Tamandua tetradactyla: one gene and its partner. The protein of the gene in region 1 interacts with the protein of each later gene in a pairwise test. Links are inferred from orthologs where the notes say so. Each region holds a gene or a part of one and is shown on either strand. Other genes may lie near its edges. The genes, in order: TNNI3 and TNNC2.

The links.
Region 2: the proteins of TNNI3 (region 1) and TNNC2 interact in binary tests that used the Homo sapiens proteins (3 or more experiments, as listed by UniProt). The two-hybrid records come from large-scale screens. The link is inferred for Tamandua tetradactyla from reciprocal best matches to the Homo sapiens genes TNNI3 and TNNC2.

Annotation. Positions count from the first base shown.
Region 1 is NC_135342.1:4,545,798-4,553,484, forward strand, and holds TNNI3 (troponin I, cardiac muscle), read left to right. Parts: upstream 1-4,453; 5' UTR 4,454-4,612; coding exon 4,613-4,623; intron 4,624-4,864; coding exon 4,865-4,910; intron 4,911-5,347; coding exon of another isoform or gene 5,348-5,362; coding exon 5,363-5,404; intron 5,405-5,720; coding exon 5,721-5,852; intron 5,853-6,149; coding exon 6,150-6,239; intron 6,240-6,667; coding exon 6,668-6,844; intron 6,845-7,528; coding exon 7,529-7,612; 3' UTR 7,613-7,671; downstream 7,672-7,687. Other genes in the region: DNAAF3 (dynein axonemal assembly factor 3), read left to right, coding at 562-719, 1,021-1,203, 1,360-1,485, 1,594-1,716, 1,993-2,122, 2,746-2,860, 3,032-3,106, 3,191-3,599. UniProt on the Homo sapiens protein: Troponin I is the inhibitory subunit of troponin, the thin filament regulatory complex which confers calcium-sensitivity to striated muscle actomyosin ATPase activity.
Region 2 is NC_135327.1:6,387,972-6,395,576, forward strand, and holds TNNC2 (troponin C, skeletal muscle), read left to right. Parts: upstream 1-4,461; 5' UTR 4,462-4,573; coding exon 4,574-4,582; intron 4,583-6,029; coding exon 6,030-6,081; intron 6,082-6,194; coding exon 6,195-6,338; intron 6,339-6,429; coding exon 6,430-6,544; intron 6,545-6,654; coding exon 6,655-6,791; intron 6,792-7,068; coding exon 7,069-7,100; 3' UTR 7,101-7,244; downstream 7,245-7,605. Other genes in the region: SNX21 (sorting nexin-21), read right to left, coding at 1-202. UniProt on the Homo sapiens protein: Troponin is the central regulatory protein of striated muscle contraction. Tn consists of three components: Tn-I which is the inhibitor of actomyosin ATPase, Tn-T which contains the binding site for tropomyosin and Tn-C.

The DNA of each region.
Region 1 (7,687 bases):
GAGAAAATCCACATGAAACTTTAAGAATAGTGCGTAATGCCATGTCAGTGCTCAACATCTCCTGCCCTGGGAGAAGGCCAAGGGAGATGAGGAGATTCCCTGGAGTGAACCCTAGAGGAGGAGAGGCAGAAGAGACAGGGGGTGGGGCAGGGTTTTCGTCTCCCTCAATTGAAGGTGTGAGGCCCGGGGAGTCTGCCCCAGGGAGGCGGCCTTGGAGCTGAGGCTGAAAGGAGGAAGGTGTGTGATTAGGTGGTAGAATGCTCGCCGGCCATGTGGGAGACCGGGTTCCACTCTTGGCCCATGCAGCCTCCCGCAGCGCACTCCCCCCACCCAAATTGTCACAGGCAATTCAGGACAGGTGGGATGGAGAAAGACAGGAAACAGACCTAGATTAGGGTAAACAGTTCCCGTTGTAGGTATTGCGCTGTGCAGAGTTGGCCCGGCTTCATTTTATTCATTAATAAATATGAAATAATTAGATAACAATAGAAATGAACATATACTCTGGAAAGGGTCTTCACCCCCACACACACACCTGTCTGATTTCTGAACTCCCCCCAGAGAGGAGCGAGGCCTTCCTGGAGGTGTGGGGGAATGCGCTGCTGCGTGCCCAGGTGGGCGCCGTCGTGCGCGCCCAGGCCGACCGCCTGGCGCACCTGGTCCCGGAGCCCGAGTGTCTGGCCGAGCAGCTGCCCTGGCTCAGCCTCAGCGCCCTCAAGGTACCGCCCCCCCCCGCGGGGTTCCGGATGGCCTTGGGGAGAATGGAAATGGGCAGTCCTGAGACAGATGTGTAGATGGCGAGAACTGGGGCTCTGGAGTTGGGATCCCAGGTCCCTGGCTCCCACTGTGGGATCTTGGGCGGGGCCGGGGGAGGGGGCTTCCTCTCCCTGAAGCCTCAGTTTCTTCACCCGAGAAAGGCTCCTTCTCACCCCCTGGAGTGGAGAGAGGGTCAGGCTAGAGAAGCCGCTCGCCCTCCGTTCCCCACTTCCTTCCCTTCTCCACGCGCGCGTGCCGGAGCAGTTCCGCGAGCGGGACGCGCTGGAGGCGGTGTTCCGCTTCTGGGCGGGCGGAGAGAAAGGGCCCGAGGCCTTCCCCATGAGCCGTCTGTGGGACTCGCGGCTCCGCCAATACCTGGGCTCCCGCTACGACGCCCGGCGCGGGGTCAGCGACTGGGACCTGCACATGAAGCTGCACGACCGGGGGGTGAGGGGCGCGCCTGCGGCCCAGGGGAGGGACTGGGGGCCCGGACCCCCGGGCGTGAGGGTGGAGGGGCTGGGGGCCTGGACCCGGGTCTGAGGCGAGAGAGGCTGGGAGCTCACAGGCCAACCCGCTGGGCCTCCTTCCCGCCCCGCACCCCAGGCCCAGGTCATCCACATTCGCGAGTTCCGGCGCTGGAGAGACACCGGCGTCGCCTTTGAGCGCAGAGACTCCAGCGCCTACCACGTCCCCAACCGGACCCTGGCGTCCGGTCGCCTCCTGAGCCACGTGCGTGTCGCCCGCTGCCCTTTCCCCTCCTCCTTCTCCAGGAGCCAGGCAGTTATTGGGGGGCCCCAGCACCAGTTTCACCCGCCTCCTCTCGCCCTCCTCTCCCAGCGCGGGGAGCGCGTGGCCGCGCGCGGGTACTGGGGAGACATCGCCACGGGGCCCTTTGTGGCCTTTGGCATCGAAGCCGACGACCAGAGCCTCCTGCGCACCAGCAACGGGAAGCCGGTCAAGGTGTGCGGACGCTGGGCGGGCTGGGGGAGCCACGGCGAGGCCCCGCCCGCCGCCGTCCAGACCCCGCCCCTCACCCCTGGCCCCGCCTCCCTATAGGCCCCGCCCCCGCCTCAGGTCTTGGCGTTCCTTGGCCATTTTGGGGGTTTAAGCCAGTCAGGCCTCCGCTATCCAAGCTCGCCCGGAGCTCGGGTCTCGGGTGCCAGCTTCCCGGTCAGTGCTCTAGCCCCGCCCCGCAGCCCCCACCCCAGCACGTGGCCTCGCCCCCTCCCCCGGCAGACCGCGGGCGACATCACGCTGCGCAACGTGACGGCGCTGTTCCGGGAGGTGTCCGCATGGCGGCGCCCGAGGGCCACCCAGGGGCCGCCGAAGGAGGCGCAGCGCGTCGGGGAGGGAGCCCCGGAGCCCCGTAAGCCGCGCGCTTGGCGCTCCCCGGGAACTGGGAGGCCGGGCTCGGGCGCCCCGGGAGAACGCGGGACGGGGCTTCAGGCTCCAGGCATTTCACCCTGTAGTCCGGGGGCAGTGACCTCCCCTTCCGGACGGCGCGTCTTAGTCTCTCTTTGTGCTTCTCTTCCTGGAATTCAGAATCCCACAAATAGAATTCTGGTTACCTGCAGAAGTCTGGCTGAGAGCATTCTAACAGGGAGCAGGGTCCCAGTCACCTTTTGGAGACTGGGTTTCATCACACACACCTGCCACTCTCTAACCATTCCCGACGCGGCTCTCCCTGGGTGTTGACCCGTCTGCGCACGGCGCCCTGCCCGCCCCAATTTCTCTCTCTCTCTGTCTCGTCTCAGTTCTTCGGTTGGTAAAATAGGCCTCTACCTCTCTGGCCGACCCTTATAGGATTTTCCAGGAACCTACCTAAGAGAAAGGATGAGAAAAGGATTTCAAGGTGTATGTTTACAAGGAGCGTTAGCTCCAAGCCTTGTGCATCTGTCCAGACGCTGTCAGCGTCTAACACGCGCGCACACACACACACGCACCCCACCTTGGCGTCACAGCCCAGGGATGCCCCTCTCTGCTCCTCAGCAGACGCCGCCCCGGAGTCTTTCATTATCCACTTCCTGCCCCTCGGTTCTGCCCAGACCCTCCACCACAAAGGCTGCTACAAGGGACGGTTCCAGCTTCTCTACCTGGCCTGCGGGTAAGAGAACCCGGGAGGCACCACATCTCCTTCCCCCAGCCCCTCCTCCCTCAACCCCGGGGTGCAGGCCCCCAGCCCTTCCACCCTTAGACCCGGGGGTCCAGACCCCCAGTCTCTCCTCCCTCAGGACCGGGATTTGGAATTGCAACCGCTTCTCTTTATTCTCTGCAGAATGGTCCATCTTCTCAGCCCTGAACTCGGGGCCTGTGTGGCCCCCGGAGGGCGCATGATCGTGGAACTAGCCCGGTGAGCTAGATGGACACCGGGCCGGGGCGGCCGGGCCTGGGACCCGAGAGCAGGGGCCCCTGACGTGCTTCTTCCGGGTCTCAGATATCTCGTAGACCTGCGGCCGGAGCAGCTGCAGGAGTTCTCCGCGCGGGTCGGGGAGCTAGCTCGGGCAGCTGGATTCGTTCCTCAACCCGGGGCCGCGCCCTCGGAGACCTTTGCGCGCTTCTGCAAGTCCGGAGATTCTCCTCCTGGCGGCGCCGACCCAACTGCGGATTGTGGAACTCCACCTCCAGAAGCCCTGGTCCCGCCTTCTGAGCGCCTGGTCCCGCGTCTTAAGGAACTGGCCCCACCCCCTGAGCCTTTTGACCGGCCCCCTGAGACCCAGGGTTCAGTCTTGGAGCTTCTGGCTCTGCCCCAGGAGTCTCTGCCCCCGCCCCCAGCGAGTCAGACTCCAAAGCCAGAGAGTCTGACGCCACCCCCAGAGACCGAGTCCCCCATGTCTCAGTTCTGAAGTCAGAACCCATCTAATTCTGTTATCATTCGAAACCTGTCAGTAGAATTCTCAGTTTTACTCTTAAGATTCTCACTCAGCCCCAGAAGTGTTGCTAGAATTTCAAATTCCGTTCCTGAGGTCCTGCATTCTAGGAATTCTAGACTGTTCTCCAGAATTCAGAAATCCACTTCTACCCCAGCCCTGAGACCCGGCCCTGGGATCGGACCCTGTGCCTGCACCGCGCGTCGTGGGGTCCCTGCCCCTTTCTGAGGGTGGCAGGCTCTCCTGCCCGGTCGGCCCGGCCCCCAACAGGTTCCAGTAAAGACAGCTGAGTGCTCTTCTCCGAGTGTCCGTGTGTCTTTCTGGCGCCCAGGCTGTCTCCAGCGGCTGGTGGCGGGAGGGGCCTGGGGAGTGAGGAGGGGAGACCCGAGACGAGATTTCCACGTGAACTGGAGCTGGCGTCTGAAGGGCTGTGGGGTGGGCGCCGGGACCCCCACGCCTGGATCCACAATGGAAGAACTTCCTGAGGGTTTGGGTGCTGACCCGGACGGGAAAAGATCTAGACTAAGGTCTAGCTGTCATGGGGCTTCTGATCACGCCTCACCCCCACCTGCCGCCACCCACCGGGGATGGCCCCCCTTCCCCCTCCCCGAAACCCCCACTTTGGAGTCCTGCGACGTCCCCTTCTAGAGGACATTGCATTTTACTGAGGGGCTGGGGGCCTGGACTGCCGGGTCTGCTGGGCGAGGGGGCCCCGGCCGCCAAGGTTGCGGGGAGATCCAGCTGGAGCGCGGCCAGCCCCGCCCCTCACGCGCCCCGTTATCTCGCATCCTGGGCAGAGGGAGGAGGCGGCGCAGTATATTTAGTCTCTGTCCTTCGTCCTTTATCTCAGTGTCCTCGGGACGCCTGAGCAGCCAGAGGGACCCGAGCGACCCAGGGACCTCCAAGGTCACCCGGGCGCCCCCTCACTGACCCTCTGAGACCCCTGGATCTGTCTCTTGGCCCTCGCAGATCCGGGCCTGAGACTCGGCATGGCGGATGAGTGCGTGAGGGGTGGAGGCCCGGCACCCTGGGGTCCCGGGCTGGAGACGTGGGGGCCGCGTCCCGGGTCCCTGAGCGAGGCGAGGGACGTCTGTCCAGAGGTGGAGGGGAGGGAGCCGGACGCCTGGGACCTAATGAAGGGGGAGCCGGTGGCACGACCTCCGGGTCAGAGGGGCCCTGGGGTCGCTTAGAAAAGGAGGAGGCGCGACCCAAGTCCCTGTCCCCGGTTTCTCTCCCTGCAGGGGCAGCGATGCGGTGAGAGCAGCAGGCTGGGACCGCGAGGCCGGGGTAACCCCTGGGGAGGGCTTGGGGAGGGCAGGGTGGCACCCCGGGGTGACGCAGCCCCGCTCCCTCTACCCAGGGCCCCGCGCCCGCCCCGATCCGACGCCTCTCCTCAGCCAACTACCGCGCCTACGCCACGCAGCCGCACGCCAAAGTGAGGGGCCCACGCAGCGGCGACGGCGCCCATGGGGGTAGAGGGGCCTGCGGGCGGGGGCGGCGGGGACTGCGCCCCGCGGAGGCCGGGCTGGGACTGGTGGGCGCCGCCTCGGGGGCCCCCGGCTGACCCACGATGGAGGGGCGGGGCGGGGCCGGAGCCCCGGACGGGTGGGCCCGGCTGAGCTGCGTGGAAACCCGCACCTGCCTGGAGCGCGCGCGGGCTGCAGCTCCTCCCTCCGCCTGCCCCGGGGCCTCCTCCCTCACCTTTCTTTGCTCCTTCCCACCGCATGTCACCGCGGCAGAAAAAGTCCAAGATCACCGCGTCGAGAAAACTGCTGCTGAAGGTGAGGGGACAAAGCGGTGCTCGGGGCTGGGGGCGGGGGGGGGGGCGGGACTCGAGAGGGAGGGAGTGTGGGGCTTGAGAGTGGGCTTCGGGCGCCAGGGGCGTGGTTTTGGACCGAGTGAGGGCGGGGCTCGCGCGTGGCAGTGCTGAAGGGGCGTGGCTTGAGTCAGCACCCCCCACAACCGGGTTGAGGGGGCGGGTCCCTGGAGGCCCGAAGACAGGGCCTGGGATGAGAGGGCAAGGCAGAGGCGACTCCCCCCGGGGAGAGCCTTCATCCGGCCACCCGGGTGGGCTGCGGTCCCCCTGCCACCCCGCAGACTCTGATGCTGCAGATCGCCAAGCAGGAGCTGGAGCGCGAGGCGGAAGAGCGGCGCGGGGAGAAGGGGCGCGCCCTGAGCGCCCGGTGCCAGCCCCTGGAGCTGGCAGGGCTCGGCCTGGCGGAGCTGCAGGTACTGGCTGCCGGACATGGCTCCTACGCAGCCTGGGACCCTCCGGACCCGGGCTCCGGTCTTGCACCCCTGGGCACTTGGGACAGTCACTCTCACCCCTTCTGCTCAGGACCCTCAGACTCTCTTGGCTCCGAGCACCCTTTGTTTGGATCCTCTTTTAGGATCAGATGTCCAGGGGCCCAGTCTCCTCCTTCCTAAACATTCAAGAGTCTGCTCCCCCAGCCCCTCCTGTGTCAGACCCAGGAACTCAGGCCCCCAGCGTCCACCCGCCCCCCATGCACCCTCCTTCTCCACCAGGACTTGTGCCGACAGCTCCACTCCCGCGTGGACAAGGTGGATGATGAGAGATACGACGTGGAGGCAAAAGTGACCAAGAACGTTAAGGAGGTGGTGATGTTGGGCCGCTGGGGTGCCCGTCAGAGCGGGGTGGGATGTCTTGGGAGAACCTCTCGCAGCCCCTTTTGGTTGCAGTCCCCGGCAGACCCGGGAAAACTGTGGGGACCTGGTGGGGAGGAGACAGAAGGATGAGTATAAAATGGCCAGGAAGGGGTGTTCCTGGCAGAGGGAGCAGCCTGTGGCAAACCAGGCAGCAGTCGGGATGCAGAAGGTGCGATGGTGGGAATGTGTGTCTGGAGCGGGAAGTGATAGATCAGAGAGAGCTTTGCGTTCCAGGATGAGGAGTTTGGATTTTGTCCTGAAGCCAGTGGGAGCCTGAGCTGGGGACTGGATGAAGCCTGGGTACTGCAAGGCAGGGGATGTAGGTGGAAAAGCCGGATGACAGGGTAGTCAAGGGAAGATCCCCATGTGGTTCCCAGATCGCAGATCTGACCCAGAAGATCTTCGACCTTCGGGGCAAGTTTAAGCGACCCACCCTGAAGAGAGTGAAGATCTCTGCGGATGCCATGATGCAGGCGCTGCTGGGGACCCGGGCTAAGGAGTCCCTGGACCTGCGCGCCCACCTCAAGCAGGTGAAGAAGGAGGACACGGAGAAGGTGAGTGTGGTGCTGCGGTCCCTGGGCTCTGGGGGTCAGCAACCCTACGGCATAACCCAAGGAGGTGGTGCACGGAGTCTGGGGTAGAAGCAGCTGGTAAGGGGTCCTCAGTGCCAGGTACAGGAGGGACATAGGAAATGCAAGAGGAAGACAGGAAATGTTACAGGAAGAGAGGAAGCATCAAGGAGGCAAGAAGTGCAGGACGGGGTCAAGAAAGCAAAAACAAGTTAAATAGAAGAGAAGTAAGCAGGGGGGCAGGAAGAGGGAGGGGCAGACAGAAAGTATCATAGAAGAGAGAAATTATGCACGGATGTAAGAGCAGGGGGACAACAGGAGAAGCATGAAGGATACAGGAAATGCAGGAGGGAGACAGGACATGCACGAGGAGAAACGGGAAGTGCAGAAGGGAGATAGGAAGTGCGTGAGGGGAAACAGGAAGTGCGTGGGGGAAACAGGAAGTGCGTGAGGGGAAACAGGAAGTACATGAAGGAAAACGGGAAGCGTATGACGGAGACAGGAAGTGCATGTTGACAGACATTGTTTGAGGGGGCAAGAAATGTTCTCGAATCAGGCCCTTGGACTGGCATCCAGTGTAGAGCCACTCGGCAGCAAGGAGGGCACGTGGGGTTCCTTGAGGGGCCAGAGGTCAGGGAGAGACCCTAACTTCTGGTCCCGTTCTCCCAGGAAATCCGGGAGGTGGGAGACTGGCGCAAGAACATCGACGCGCTGAGTGGAATGGAGGGCCGCAAGAAAAAGTTTGAGGGCTGAGCCCGCCTGCCCGCCAGCCTGGCCCTGAGGATGGCCCGAGGAATAAAGCTTCTCTCTGAGCTGGGAGTGGTTGCG
Region 2 (7,605 bases), on another chromosome or scaffold:
CGTCGTCGTCGTCCCCGAGGTCGTCGTCCTCGGCGCTGGTGAAGCTGAGGGTGCCGCTGAGGCGCGAGGACAGGCCCTCGGCGTCGTCGTCCTCCAGTTCCGAACTCTCCGGGAACTGCTCGGCCTCGGGGCCGCCCGCCGCCTCCCCGGGGCCGTCGCCGGCCAGGGCGTGCCGCAGCCGGTACAGGAGCCGGGAGGCCATGGCACCCTGGGGGGAGCACCCGGGGCTGGGTCCTCGGCCCCTGCGGGAGGTGGCCCCCAGCCCGGGCGCGGCGGAGGGGCGGGGCACTGGCCGGTGGAGGGAGGGGCGCCGCGGAGGCCCCGCCCCCGCCCGCTGGGGGTCCCGCGCGCCCCGGGCCTCCTGCCGCGCCGCCATCCCCCCGCCCGCGCAGCCTGGGCCGCGCTCCTCCGCGGAGGGTCACCGGGTCCTCCCCGCTTCTCTGCCCGCCCCGCGCGCCTCTACCTCCGGCGCCCCGCCGAGCGCCCAGGGCGCCCCGCTCCCCGGGAAGGCCCGCAACCCCGCTGTGGCTCGCCGAAACCGGCCGGGCGCCGCGGCTCCGCCGGCCCAGGCCGCTCCGAGCGCCGCTTCCTGCCGCCGCCCCGCCTCCGGCCCCGCCCGCTGCCCGGAGCCGCCCGGGAATTCCGGGCCCCGCGCCCCGGGAGGGACTTGGGAATCCGGGGCCGGCCTGGGCGAGCCTCACGCCTCGGCCGGGTTGTCCCCCAACTGGGCGGGAGCGCACCCTCCTCGAACCCTCGCACCCCTCCCAGCAGCCCTGTCCGCCCCATCTTTCCACTTCGTTGTCCCCGGAGCTCTCTAACTTTCCGAAGTCATTATGCAGCAGAGGACGCCCATTTCTCCAGTGAGGAATCCGGGCCTGGAGTGGGTGCGGGATCTGGGCTGGCGTCTGATCTGACTGTAATTTTGCAACTGGTAGCATCAGCTCAGGCGGGGATCCCAGGGCCCAGCACCAGGCAGGGGCTGACGAAATGCTCAGTTACATCATGATTTTGTTTCTACAGTGCTCACAGGCTTTCACAAGCTCATTTGAGTCTCGCATGTAGGGAGTAGGTCAAAGGGGAAACTAAGAACCAGGAAGGCCAGTCATTTGCCCAAAATTCCACAGCCTGCTAGAGATTTCTAGGTGTGGGGACTTGGAACCAGAGCCTCCTGAGCTCCGCATCCTGCTCTTCTCCCGCGCAGCAGGGCTGCTGTCATCTCAGCAGCTCCTCTGGGGCGCCGGTTTCATTTTCTCTGTGGAGGGGAAGGGTCGGTTGATAAGAATTAAGAATCATTTGAGGCTTCCTGTTAGAAGGTCTAGATGTCTGTCTCTAGCAGGGCAGGTATCTTAGTTATACGATTAAACAAAACCTCCCTGAAAGCAGTTGCAACCCTGTTGGGAGTGGGCCTGGAGAGGAGTGGCAGGGACGTGTCTGCACAGAGAGCACACTCTCTGCCCTCCCTCAAGTGGGCGGGGCAGGGTTCGCTTCTTAGGTGCCACGGCGTCCAGAGTTCAGTTGGCGGCACCTTACATGGTGTCACATTTCACCCTCACAATATCCTGGAGTCTATTACTGGACAATGATGATCCATTTTCAAGATGAAGAAACCAAGGCAACTTGACTTTCCCAAGGTCCACAGCTAGGAAATAGGGGAACAAATCCATGTAATTTCAAAGCTCCTCCTGCTCTTTATGCCAATAAATAAACATTGGCTGAATATTACCTTGCACTTTGATAAATGCCTCAAAAGACCGAGTACAAATAGTGTTCATAAAACCATGGCTGTCAGAGTGTGCTGGCTTGAAGCTGTGATGTACCCCAGAAAAGGCCATAATCTTTTAGTTCCTTCCTGCGGGTGTGAGCCCTTTGTGGTGGCACCTTCTGATTAGGTTATTTCAATTGAGATGTGACCCACCCAATTCAAGGAGGAGGGTACTTAATCCTCTATTGGAGTCCTTTATGAGAGGATAAAAGGCAGAAAAAGCCAGAGGGCTCAGAGTAGAACACCCAAAGAGAGCTCAGAGTGGAACGAGAACCGGAGAAGTTCAGGGAAGAGGCTGCTGGAACCAGAAGCTGAAAGCAAGGGGACCTGGGAGCAAAGGAGGCAGCAGATGCCAGCCATGTGTGTGCCCATGTGGCAGAGGGGTCCCAGATGCCAGTGGCCTGTCTTTGGAGTCCAGGTATCATTCTGTTACTGCCTTAATTTGGACATTTTCAGGGCCTTAGAACTGTAAATTTATCAACTAATAAATCCCCGTTGTAAAAGCCAACCCACTTCTGATATATTGCATCCCCGCAGCTTTAGCAAACTGGAGCCCAGAGCCAAAAGGGTCTCTCAAAAATCTGGCCTATTGCTTCCATTTTATAGTTGGGAAGTCTGAGGCTTAGTGAGGGGAATGGACTTACCCATACAACAGGTCTTCTGATCCACAACTTTGAATTCCCCAAAACTCTTAGACTGCATATGCCATCTCCTTACAACCTCCCTGCGAGATAGTTACCTAACTCCTGCTTGAAAACATCCAGTGACAGGGAGCTCATTTCCTTATAAAGCTGCTGGTTCCCGTGATTGTTATTTAGTCCTTCCTTTTATTGAATCAGATCCCAGTCATTTCAGCTATGTATGTATTGAATGCCTGCTAAGTGGCAAGTGCTAGGCCCTGGAGGATGCAGTGGTGAACAGGAAACAGTGTCTGGTCAGGGTGATACAGAACACATTGTGATCATACAGCATGCTCAGTGCTGTGATTCAAGAAACTACTGGAGACCTCTCTGAAGTCCCCTGACCTGAGAATAGGGGAGGGGGGATCCTGGAGCAAGAGATGTTAAAGCTGAAAAAGATAGTAGGGAAGTAGGCAGGCAAAGAGAGGGAAGAAGGGGTTCCTGGTAGAAAAAAACAACATGCACAAGGGCATGGAGGTTCTAAAGGGTGATATTTGGGGGAGTATTTAAGTCTGATCACAGCAGAGCAGCATTCAAGGTGGAGAGAGGAGGAAGGAGTAAGATCAGAGGGGTAGATGGGACCCTGCTTGCCACACTGAGGAATTTGACTTTATTTCTCTGAATGAAAGAACACACAAATGAACAAACAATCTCTGCAGGTTCACAACCTCTGTTTCCAAGTATTTTGTGTCCAAACTGGAGGCCCCTAGGTGTTGCCCCTTGGCCCTTTGCCTGGCTGGGGGAGGTCCTTTTTTGCCTGACCTGGTTCTGCTGAGCTTTCCTTGGGAATGTCTATATATAGGGAAAGGAGGCAGCCCAGTTGTCACTGTCCATCTGCCTTCCCTGCTGTGCAGCACCCCCTCCCTGGCCCCAGGACCCATGCCCTACCAGCTTGGTGCGCTTTCTATTGATTTAGCCACTGTCCAGGAGCCTGGCCTACCCCAAAATGCCCAGCCTGGAACCTGAGGATTCTTGGGTGGTCTCTCTTCAGACTAGAGCTGCCCACTTCATTCACTCTCCAGATGGCCAGCTGAGCTCTTCCAGATACCTTCATGGAGCTCTAGGAGGAGGTCAGCTGCCCCTTCAACTATAGAGAAACTTTCCCTGGGACCACCCATTCCCCCACCACCCCACCCACCAAAAAAAACCCAAAATCAAAACCAAAGTGAATCCCAAACACCCTTTTCCTGGAGGAGACAGGCTGTCTGCTCTCTATGCTTATCTTATTTACAGCCCCCTTCATGACCCCTTCCAAATGCCCCCATCATCTCCCCCTCCCCCTCCTCCCCCTCTGCCCAGGACCATCTGTCCCAGGTTATCCCTGTCAGGATTAATAATAAGAATCACCAACATGCATACAGATGCTTATGGTTTCCAAAGCACTTCAGGAAAATGGGGATAATAATAGTTACTACCTCATGGGATGAAAACTAGCTGAGCTCATATGGTTTAAATGCTCAGTGTGTGGCAAGTCATAAAGGTTCAACAAACTGGTCATAGCTGTCTACCAAGGTTTAAAGACAGGACTTGCCTGCCATGTACCTGGCACAGGCTAGGTGGCATATCTGGGCTCCTGTTTATAGCGATCTCTCTGTAAGGGAGGTTATGACTATCCCCATCTCATAGATGAGAAGACTGAGGCTCAGAGAGGCATTGCCACCTGCACAGTGTCACACAGCTCACAGAGGCAGGACTTTGGATCTTGGGTTTTGGACAGCATAGCTGTGCTCTGCCTACTCTATCTCCCCTGCTGCCCCATTTTCCTCTGTTCTGATTGTCGGTACCCATCTTGGCACAAGTGTGCCTCCTGAGCCGGGGCTCCCTGAGGCAGGGAGCAGGGAAAGTCCTCCTCACAAGAATCTAGGACGCCAAGGCCTGCCACCTGCTCAGAGGCTTAAATTTCTCTGCAAGGGCCCTTGGCTAAATTAGGTAATGGGCTAGGATTCTGGGAGGGGTGGGGCTCGCTGACCCCAGAATCTGATTGGCCAGGCTAACCAGTCCTGGGGAGCAGGAAGGCGGGAGGGGAAGGGGCCCCTACAAATCCCGGGGGCTGGAGAGGGCTGGGGCATCCTCGGGTGGTGGTGTGCAGAGGAGGTGACACGCAGCTGAGGATCCCAAGCCAACGACAATCATGGTAAGGGTAAGGATGGACTTCGTTCTCTCCCTTGCTGGAGCACTTCTGGGCCTCTCCCAGGCCAGACCGGGTGTGCAGGATGCGGGTCAGTAAGTCGGAGTTTTACAGTTGCGGTGTGAAGTGTCCTGGAAGCCAGGGGTCTTGGGGGAAGGCTGGGAAGAAGGCCTTCTACTTCTCTTGGAAGGGGAAGGTTGGGATGTTCCATGGGTTGATGCTCAAGGCTTGCCGATTCCTTCCAGGCCTTGGGACTCCCAGCACTGTCAGTCACAGAGCTGTGAGGGGTCTTCACTTATCTCCCTCACGGTAGAGTTGGGGACCCTGAGACCCACAGCAGGTTGACTAAGGTCCCAGTGAGAGAGTGGCAGGAGTGGGCCTCAAGCCTGGCCAAACCTTCCAACTGTCCATGGTAGGAAAAGCTTCTCCAGAAGATTGGGTGCCTGCAGCCAGCTTAGGTGCAGGGCTCCAGAGCCTCGAGAGTGATGGGAAAAGGCAGAAGACGACAGACCAGACTTGGGAAGACCGCAGCCTCCCAGAAAGGGGCTCTGATTTGGGACTGTCATTTTCTCCTGAGACCCCCACCCCCACCCCACTTCACTTCAAGGAGTAACTAGACCCCAGAGACCAGCTGCTATTGCCCTTGCCTGATTAAAAATAGCCTGCCCTTCTGGCACCGGAAAGAAGGGTGGCAGGAGGGGGGGCAAGGGGGAGGCAGTGGCTGAAGAACTCCTTGGACATCTCAGCCCTTCCTCGCTGCCAAGCATCAGTCCAATGGCCCCTCCTTCCATGAAGCCTCCACAGATGGTCCGGCTGGGATATGACCGGAAAGCTCTACGGCAATCTTACTCTCGCCCTCTCAAGGCCACCAGCACCTTTTACCTAGCATGAGAGTGTTTACTGGGATGACTAAGTCCTAAGAACCTTACCATTTGGAGCCCTGCCTTCCACCTCTGCAAGTTCTCTGAGGGGAGGGATGATGAGTCCAGGTCTTCTGGGTCCGTGTATGGCCTGTGGCCTGGCACAGTACATGCCCACTAGCTTTGTGTTGCGTCATCATTTACTGAGCACCGCCTGAAGTAGGACCGCATTATCAGGTGCTAGGAAAAATCACGCTGGAATGATGCTTTCTGAAGCCCTTTCACACCCGTAATTTCATCTCAATCTAGAGAAAAAATGAGGGTACACTAAGTGACTTGCCCAAGGTCAGTGGGGGTTGTCGACTGGCCTTCAGACTGATAAACGAGGAGATCTTGGACATAACCTGTGTCTGCCCCTGAGTTCTTTTCAACTGGGGTGGATGCTGTGGGGCCAGGCAGCAGCTCGGCAAGTGTGGACCCGGTTTTCCTGAGGCCCCAGGAGTACTCACAGAAACTGGGGGTGGCGGGAAGAGGGTGAAGGCAAGAATCCGCCCGAGGGCTTGCTTCCCCTGCATCCTGACTCCCCGTGTCTTCTGCAGACGGACCAGCAGGCTGAGGCCCGGTCCTATCTCAGCGAGGAGATGATTGCTGGTGAGTGGGCGGGGGGCACCGGGTGTGGGGGTGCGTGGGCAGGTGGGAGGGTGGCTGTGGGGCTGGCAGGCTCGCCAGCTCGCCGCAGCCTTGGACGCCTACTCTCCGGGCAGAGTTCAAGGCCGCCTTCGACATGTTCGATGCCGATGGCGGCGGGGACATCAGCGTCAAGGAGCTGGGCACGGTGATGAGGATGCTGGGCCAGACGCCCACCAAGGAGGAGCTGGACGCCATCATCGAGGAGGTGGACGAGGACGGTGAGTGCAGGCCCCGGGTCGGCGGGGTGGGGCACGGCGAGGAGGGGCGGCGTCCGGGGCTCCGGCTCAGGCGGCCGCCCCGCGTCCTCAGGCAGCGGCACCATCGACTTTGAGGAGTTCCTGGTCATGATGGTGCGCCAGATGAAAGAGGACGCCAAGGGCAAGAGCGAGGAGGAGCTGGCGGAGTGCTTCCGCATCTTCGACAGGTGCGCAGGGCGCGGGGGGAGGGGCCTGGGGGCGAGTCCCCGGGAGGGAGGGGCCGCGGGAAGGGGCCGAGGAGCGCGGCCGGGGCGACGTGCTGCCGCTCCGCCCCAAGGAACGCCGACGGCTACATCGACGCCGAGGAGCTGGCCGAGATTTTCAGGGCGTCCGGGGAGCACGTGACGGACGAGGAGCTCGAATCCCTAATGAAGGACGGGGACAAGAACAACGACGGCCGCATCGACTTCGACGGTGAGGGCCGCGGGAGCCAAGTCGAGGGGGGCGCATGCGCGGGGGGCGCACACGCGCGCGCTGGCTTTGTGGGCGGGGCCGGTCGGAGCCCGACCGAGGCCCCTCCCCCTTGCGGGCGGGTCGGGCGTGCGGGAGCGTTTGTGCGGTTTGTTAGTTAGTACCGGGGTGGCCCCTCCGCGTGGCCCGAGGCCTGGCCGGCCCGCGCTCGGCCCCTGCCGCAGTTCTCCGCGTCGCGAGTGGGTAATCCCTGATGCCCTCTCCCGCTCCCTCCCTGCAGAGTTCCTGAAGATGATGGAGGGTGTGCAGTAAGGAGTCGGCCCGCGCCCCCGCCGACACCGCGTGTCCCTGGCCGTAGGCGGCTCGGCCGCAGCCGCGCCCAGTCCCCGGCCCCGGCAGGGAGGCGCTGCGCCTTCTGGGTCTGCGTCCGGCAGGAATAAACGCAAACATTGCAAAGCGCGTGGCCTGAGTGAGGGGGACCGGGGACGTCTCCCCGGCGAGGCGGCGGGAGCGGCGGGATGCGGGAGGGCGTGGGGCCGTGCTCGCCAGTTCACGGCCGGCTGCGGGCCTTTGGCGCTGGGCGTGGGCCGCTCGGAGGCCGCGGGGGGCTTCCCGCCGAGTCCCGCAAGCTGGCAGCCCGAGGAGGGTGCAGGCGCGGCAGGACCGCGGGGTGACTCTGGAGGCCTCCCTTTCTGGGACCTTTGGCTATTGGGTGCCACACTTGTCACACCTGCAGCTGCGCGGCACGGGCGGGGATGGGGGTGAGAAGAAAGAAGAAGGAAGGGGCGCGGGGGTCTTATCCCAGGCATCATTATTT